Linked DNA regions of Nothobranchius furzeri. The protein of the gene in region 1 binds, or shares a complex with, the protein of each later gene. Links are inferred from orthologs where the notes say so. Each region holds a gene or a part of one and is shown on either strand. Other genes may lie near its edges.

Region 1 (3,831 bases):
AGCGCTGCTGCTGAGAAGATACAATAATGAAATCCTGCAGCATTATCACTTGTACACACACACACAAACACACACACACACACACAGCCTGAAGTACAGAATATCAGCAGGGGGACAGATTGAGACAGAACATCATGTGTGTGTGACAGTGTGTGTCCTGTCACTGTGACCTGATTGATCATGTGACCTGGCTACTTGTACAGGGGAGATCTCTGTTTGGGTGACTGGTTAGTGCGCGTGACGTTCACCCGGGAGTCTGGGGATTGAATCCTGATTGGACCATTTTTTATATCCGCCACAGATCTCTCTGAAGAAGTCAGCATTGACGGCTTCAGCAACGCTGTGCCACTCCGTGGGTTTTCTCTTATTTGTTTTGCAAAAGAACTTCCTTTCATTTCTCCACCTCACCCACAGGTACCTCAACTTCTGCTTGTGTGAAATAGCGCTTCCTTGATCTGCCTTGATCTACGGTCGTCATGTCGTTGGCGGAGCGCTGCAACAGCCGGCTTATGTGTATGCATGAGGTCCACAAGGCACTTTGCATTGACCATTTATGGCAGTAAGTGGGCGTGGTGAGGGTGGGATGTGACTAAAAAGCAGCTGAGAAACATTCTCGTTAGACTCTGATTTATGAAGCGGAGATTGCGTGCAGCTGTGCGTCCTCCATGTTTGATAGATCACACACCTGCTTGGTGTAAGCACTTTTGTTTGCTGAGCTTAAGTACGGTTTTAGTAAGGATTCTACGCCATGTTTGATAAATGAGACCCCTGATGTTAACTTTTGGAGAACTCACGAGAGGATGGCGGACAAGGAGAGCATCTCAGCCGTCAGGTAGGCCAGGTATCCCAGGATGAAGAGGAAGCCGGGCTCGATGATCTGGATGTTTTTAGTGCATCTGGACAAAAGGGCGAACAGCAGGCCAAACACAAACCCCACCAGGCTACCGCCAAACGCCACCACGAAGAAGGAAACTGGAAAAAGACAACAGATCAGGCCCAAATAAACACTTCTGGTCAGGAAAGAGTTAGAACCCAAAAAAGTCTCACTTATTCCTTTAATGATCTCAGCGGCATTGATTCGGGGTCCTCCAAGAGTCACAAATGCATTGAAGACATTGAAGAGCACCTAAAAAAGCAGAAGGAACCATGAATGTTGTGGAGACGGACACCTTCACAGGAGCCTTTGGTCCAAGACAGCAGCTTGTTTCTTAGATTTTGATGCTCAGATGACATCATTCCAGAAGGATTCTGATCTTCTTTCATTTCCCTTCAACGTGATGCATCGTCTATGATGGTCTTAGAAGGGTTTCACCAGGTTTTCCTGAGTTGGGTTTCCCAACAAAGACCCAGTTCAGCTCTAATATTTTCCTTCCGAGCAGCCAGAAGCTCAGAAGGTTTCAGAGGCTCTGAGTCATTGGCTCCTTCAGTAGAAACTCTTCCCGTTTCTGTTGTTGCATATTTAAAAATACCAAAGACATCAGTTTGGTTCCCAGAGAGCAGGACGCTGGTCTTACGCACCACAGTGACGCCGTCGTTCAGCAGCGACTCTCCGAACACCATGATGAAGAGGACCTCGTTGACGTGGACCTGCTCAAACACGGCGAGGACGGCCACGGGGTCGACAGCAGCGATCAGACTACCGAACAGGAGGTACTGCAGCAGGCCGACGTTCAGGTCACCTGGAGCAGGACAGGATCAGTCTGAGAGGGTCCTGGTCGCTGGAACCATGATGGAGGTTCAGGCAGCAGAAACAACATTTACCTGGTCACTAAGAACCGTATTTATGTATATATGTATGTATGGGTACATATTTAGATAAGTATATATGTTTATGAATACATAGGTAGATAAATATTTATTATATACGTGTATTTGTATAAATTTATATCAATCGATCAAAAATATACATGAGTATGTAAGTACTTAAGTATATAATTGTGTGAGTATATATGTGCATAAATATAAATACGTATGTAGATAAATATATGTTATACAAGTACCAGCAACCAGCACCGTTTACATTCCAGTAACCTCATCTCTACGGTTATTCCCAAAGCTCGCACCTCATTCCAGTTTGCTGCTTCCAACGACTGGAATGAGCTGCAGAACCACTGAAGCTCCCGACCTACATTCCTTTATCTACCCTCAATAGTTCATGGTGACCAATAGTTTCTGATCAGTGTTCTAAGTTCTGATTACTCATACATATTATATTTCTCTGGTGTAAAGCTAACTGTGTGACTGTTGCTGCTGCCTCTTGGCCAGATCCCCGTTGTAAATGAGAATGAGTTCTCCATCCACTCATCTGTTTAAATAAATGAAAATAAAAGTACATCTGTGTAAATTTATATCAATCAATCAATCAATCAATCAAAAAATATATATATACACGTATATATATATCAGTATATATGCATATAAGTATGTAAGTATATAAGTCTATATGTGTACAAGTACATATGTAGATATATGTGTATATATGTATACATGTACATATATGTACTTATACACATATATACATGTGTATATATATATATATATGTATACATGTGCATATGAGTATACATATACATATATGTACTTATACACATATGTACATATATGTACTTATACACTTATGCACATGCATACTCATATATACATGACTACATGTATATATGAGTATACATGTGCATATGAGTATACATGTGCATATGAGTATAAGTACATACATGTACATATGTGTATAAGTACATATATGTACATGTATAATCATATGCACATGTATACATGTAAATATGAGTATACATACTCATATATATATATATATATATATATACACATGTATACATGTGCATATGAGTATACATGAACATATATGTACTTATACACATATGTACATGTATATGAGTATACATGTACATATGTGTATAAGTACATATATACATGTATATGAGTATACATGTATATATGAGTATACATGTAAATATGAGTATACATACTCATATATATATATATATATATATATATATACATGTATACATGTGCATATGAGTATACATGAACATATATGTACTTATACACATATGTACATGTATGTACTTATACACATATGCACATGTATACTCATATGCACATGTATACTCATATATACATGACTACATGTATATATGAGTATACATGTACATATGTGTATAAGTACATATATGTAGATGAAGTTAAGGCGCTGCTGTTACCCATGGCTCCGCCTATCTGACACCCCCACAGCGACAGCCCCAGGCTGGCAGCATTCCAGCAGGTCCCGATGATGGCGTGGATCAGGATGCCTCCCAGGTTGGTGAAGAACAGCTTGTTTGGCATGCTGTATCCCGTATCCAAGATGATCGGAGGCAGGAAGTAGTGGAAGAAGTCGTACGGGGTCAACCTGAAGGTCTGGACCTTGTCTGCCCCCCAGATCATCCCCCCCAGGATGAAGCCGGAGCAGATGAGCAGAGCGCTCTCGGGGATGAACTCGGTCACATGGTGGTTTGCTTCGATGACTGAAACACCAAACACAAGGTTACACTTTTATTTTGAAGGAGACCTTTTGATCTTGCTGCTCTGTGGCCCGGTCCCAGACCTGAAGTGTCATCGTAACATCTGATGGGTCTGATTTCAGATTCATGACTGAACTAATGACCAACCCGACGTTTGCCCTGTAACTAAACCAGAAACGACTTCTGTAAAGTTTCAGATGTAGAAATAATCAACAGCTCGTGTCCCTTTGTCCTGAGCCAATGGTTAACCGGCGGGAGGATCACTAAAGTTTATGTAATAATAAAACCCACTGAGGCTTGGAGAAACGGCCACTTC
Region 2 (3,931 bases), on another chromosome or scaffold:
ACTCAGCATCTCTGTCATGTGACAAAGCAGCACTCACCTGCAGCAGCTCATCCCGAGAGATTTTGTCATCTCTGTCCAGGTCATACAGACGGAACGCAACTGAAAAATAAACATAAAAGTTATGTGATCCATGAGCGACGAGTCCAAGCGTTTCTGACCCTGTTCAGCAGCTCCACACTCACACAGGAGCTTGTTTGATCTGCTGTTCAGCGGCTCGGAGGCGGTGGGGTTCTTGTTCTTCTCGTTGTCCTCAATAGGTCTGAAGTGAGCCAGGGTGCGCATGAAGCCCCTGAAATTCACCTGGTCCTCTCTAGGGGGAAAAAACCCAAACAGATTCAAGTGAAAATCTGAACGAAAAACAAAAAAGGTTTTATTTGGGTCAGAATACATTTTTACTCAGAGAAAGACATTGTGAGAAACAAGGAAACAAACAGGAACTTGTACCATTATGTCATTTTGAACGCTTCCCTTTAGTTTCTATTTGCTCACAATCAAATACACAAAACCAGCTGAAAGGTGAACCCACGTGAAACAATTAAAAATCACGTCACGACATTAAACACCCACACAACTGATATGTTATGGCTTAAAGAAGGGGTTTGTAGACCGCATCACACAAATTGTCCACCCAGATCTGGCAGCCTCGTGTCTGCCGGCGCCGAGCCTCAGCAGAGTCGAGTTACAGTCCGGCTTACAGCTCTCAATTACGAAATATGCAGAAATAGGCAAGAAAATGTGTAGAATAAGAGAAAACCTACCCCTCAGGGAAGAATGCATTGATGATTCTGTCTCCCAGAGGGTTGATGGCCAACTCAGGAATCCTCTGGAAATCTTCTCGGCTGCAGACATCATGAAATATGAAAACAATTGAGTCCCATGAAAACACATATTTCCCTTTATAGTGTTTAAGATAACACACCTTATGTAAAGCTTATGAGACACATCATGTGAAAGTAGTTTTAATTCTCAAAACAAGACGGCTTTGATTTAAAAGAAAACAAGTGTTTTCAGAGTCCGTTCTCCTGGCGATGCCGTTTCATCACCTGTAACCAGAGTTTGAAACAATCCTCCTGAAACGTGTGGAAAATCTCACTGTTGTGGAAACTAACACACGATAAGGATGTCAGGCTAAGAAGATGAGAATACCCCTGACTTGTGAAGGGAACGAGAGCTCAGAGACAAGGGCAAACAGAATAAAAACTTGTTATGTGTAAACACATCTTAGACGATTCTAAGGTCCATAAAATTAATCAGACTGCCCTTGAACGACTGATCCACAAATGACGTTGCAGCTGCCAAACCAAAGGGATTCATCACACCAAGGTTCAGACTAAAGTCTTATTTGCTTAATAATTACCCAGCATTCCATCACCTCTCATTTAGTGTGAAGCCAGAAACAAACCACACCAATGACTGACTGAGCTCTCAGCTAAATTACCACTAAGATAAAACCTACCAACACTAACTGGATACAAACCTGTAAAAAAATATTCTCAAATGACTTGTTTGAATCTAAATATTTAACTAATGTCTCTTAAATTCTAGATCAACTTTGCTTTACTCTAGTCTCTTTGTTTCTATTTTTGAGAATCAGCCACATTTGCTCAACTTGGTCTCAAAACACCCTAAAATCTAAAGAGCAGATTGAGAAACTCGATATTGTTGAACTAAGCTTCTGACATCAGAAACTCTAAAAAGTTTTAGGATTACAATAAATTGTATCTAGAGAGTTTTCACACAGGTGTGTGTCTTACCTGAGAGTACCGTTCTCTCCTTTATCCAGGCTGGTGAAGCGGCTGTACAGTCGTGTGATCTGGCTGTGGGAGACTACACCGAAAATACAAAAACGTTACTACGTTTAAATAAAAACTAATTTTCACAATACACATTAAGACTGCGACTTTATAAACGATCGACAAAACATGTGAACTTGTTTTCCAACTGCAGGTAAGTTAGCTAGCTTCAATTTGGTTCCATGAATCAGTCAGCTCAACTTACAGCCGGTCTCTTTTTTAATTTCTTCGATTTCTTCTTCTCGCAGTAATGTGGAAGCTCTTGATCCCATGATGAGGTAGTATCAGCTCGTCTTCTTGCACAACCGGTTGAGAGAATCTCGCCGTGAAGCGCCCTGAAAGTTAGCGAACAAGCTAACCGCGCGAGCTAATATCTGCTCCAAACAAGGCTTTAAAAGCTGAGTGAGCTCAGATCAACCAGCTGTGAGCAGACTCCCCGTTTATGCAGCGTGACGAGCGGTTTGTTTTCTGTTAAAGATTTCCTCCAGTCTGTCCTGACTTCATATTGCCAAAGCGATTTTCGGTCAGGCTTTTTTCCTGAACAGCGCTGTGGGCGGGGTTAACAGGGTTGCCGCACGCGTCTTTTGGAATTCTAGGGTGACCAAGGAAGGTCCCGCCTTTCTCGCATCTGATTGGCTAGATACGCTCTACTACGATTGGCTGAAAATTCGCGGGTGTGGCAGACAGTAGCCTTCGCTTGATTGAAAGCTAAGCAAGCAAAGCAACTGATGTGGATAAACATCCCACTGGTTTGTGTGGATGTGGGGTGGGTGGGTGGGGGGGAACAGTGGAACATGTTTTGTGTGACTGCATAAAATATGAGGGAAGTAGAGGGCAACTCAGGGAGAAATTAAGAGACATAGGAGGTGGAGTGATGACTGTAAGGAATTTGTTAAATGGTGAAGAAAGGAATTACAAGTTGGTTGTTGGGTATCTAAAGCACTGTGGTCTGTTGGATAGAATTTAGTTTTTTTTCTCGCTCTTACCCCGACTCACACTCCAGCACAGTAGGTGGCGGAAATGCACCTAGCAGTTAGATGCCACCCGCCATTAAAACTCTAAGAAGAAGAACTGATGCGGATACCTGAGCAGAGGTAAATAATTTGTCTTTGTGAGAAAGCTAACATTAGCTTTTCAAAAGCCACGTTAAAAATGATAGGCATGCCCTCAAATGTTCATCTAATCTGTTGTTTGCTGATGACATAGCTGCCAGTTCAATATACCTACACACACACACACACACACACACACACACAGGTGTTCTGTACTTGTTCAATAAAATCTGATGTAATCGGTGTCGTGTATTTTCATGATCATGCCTTTTGGTAACAATTTGGAAATATTTTCATAGGCTGAGGCAAGCAGGATGGAACTGAAGACACATCTTTCATGTGTTTAAATCTGTATATTTAACTGAAATTATTTCAAAGCTGATTATGATTTAGACCTATTTTTCAGCAGTTTTCATTATTTTAGAAGAGAAACTGCTGCACACAGCTGGGTAAAATAGGGCAGTTTTATTATATTTCTTACCCAGGTAAGGCACACACGTCTATCCTATGTACTCTGCTGTAATAAGATAAAGTAAATCCTCTAATACAGGCCCGGGCCTGTATTTGACTCAAGCTCATCAAGCTCCAGGCCTTTATTGGAAGGAGGGCCAGTATTAGAGGCAGGCCTCTATTTCTATTTGAGCAAAATGAACTAATGGTTCGCTGGAGTTTTTGACAATTAAAATTGCGCCCACATTTTCAAAGTTAAACACATTTCTTTTAACAACGGTAGTTTCTGCTTCAGCCATCTCCCCCCTCCCCCTGTGCAGCGGCCGCAAACTCACTGATGCGCCTGCAGCCTCTCAGAGATCCTGCTGCTCTAAAAATTAAAATAATTATTTCAGTTTCTGTTCCTCACTTCTGATTACCTTCAATGGTGTCTGTTGCAACCACCAGGTACAAAAACTAACTTGTTTTTATTTGACTATTTTTCTGTCCTGTCTGTTTATTATCTTCCTGCATCTCCTCTCAATCCTTAAGAGAAACTGCTACCTGGGTTCATATATATTTACCTTATGAGTTACCTTTGAACTGCAGTTCTAAAAGATCTACCGACCGCAAAAACAGCGGAGTGCTCGCTGCTTG

The links.
Region 2: the proteins of sodium/hydrogen exchanger 3 (region 1) and chp1 are in contact, whole or in part, in a cryo-EM structure (PDB 7X2U), measured with the Homo sapiens proteins. The link is inferred for Nothobranchius furzeri from reciprocal best matches to the Homo sapiens genes SLC9A3 and CHP1. Residues at the interface, in NP_004165.2 of Homo sapiens: Tyr396, Arg397, Met398, Gln400, Glu402, Arg474, Leu475, Asn476, Glu477, Leu479, His480, Gly481, Arg482, Ala483, Phe484, Asp485, His486, Ile487, Leu488, Ser489, Ala490, Ile491, Glu492, Asp493, Ile494, Ser495, Gly496, Gln497, Asn501, Arg504; in NP_009167.1 of Homo sapiens: Arg30, Leu31, Arg34, Leu38, Lys40, Glu49, Phe51, Gln52, Arg53, Ile54, Glu56, Leu57, Ala58, Ile59, Asn60, Pro61, Leu62, Asp64, Ile66, Phe70, Phe83, Leu87, Phe90, Leu115, Phe117, Ala118, Leu121, Tyr122, Leu135, Leu139.

Annotation. Positions count from the first base shown.
Region 1 is NC_091759.1:25,544,923-25,548,753, reverse strand, and holds part of sodium/hydrogen exchanger 3, read right to left. Parts: intron 3,519-3,831; coding exon 3,216-3,518; intron 1,680-3,215; coding exon 1,519-1,679; intron 1,127-1,518; coding exon 795-1,126; intron 1-794. UniProt on the Homo sapiens protein: Plasma membrane Na(+)/H(+) antiporter. Exchanges intracellular H(+) ions for extracellular Na(+) in 1:1 stoichiometry, playing a key role in salt and fluid absorption and pH homeostasis.
Region 2 is NC_091758.1:19,053,982-19,057,912, forward strand, and holds the start of chp1 (calcineurin B homologous protein 1), read right to left. Parts: upstream 2,320-3,931; 5' UTR 2,066-2,319; coding exon 1,999-2,065; intron 1,828-1,998; coding exon 1,755-1,827; intron 840-1,754; coding exon 759-839; intron 311-758; coding exon 183-310; intron 100-182; coding exon 38-99; intron 1-37. UniProt on the Homo sapiens protein: Calcium-binding protein involved in different processes such as regulation of vesicular trafficking, plasma membrane Na(+)/H(+) exchanger and gene transcription. Involved in the constitutive exocytic membrane traffic.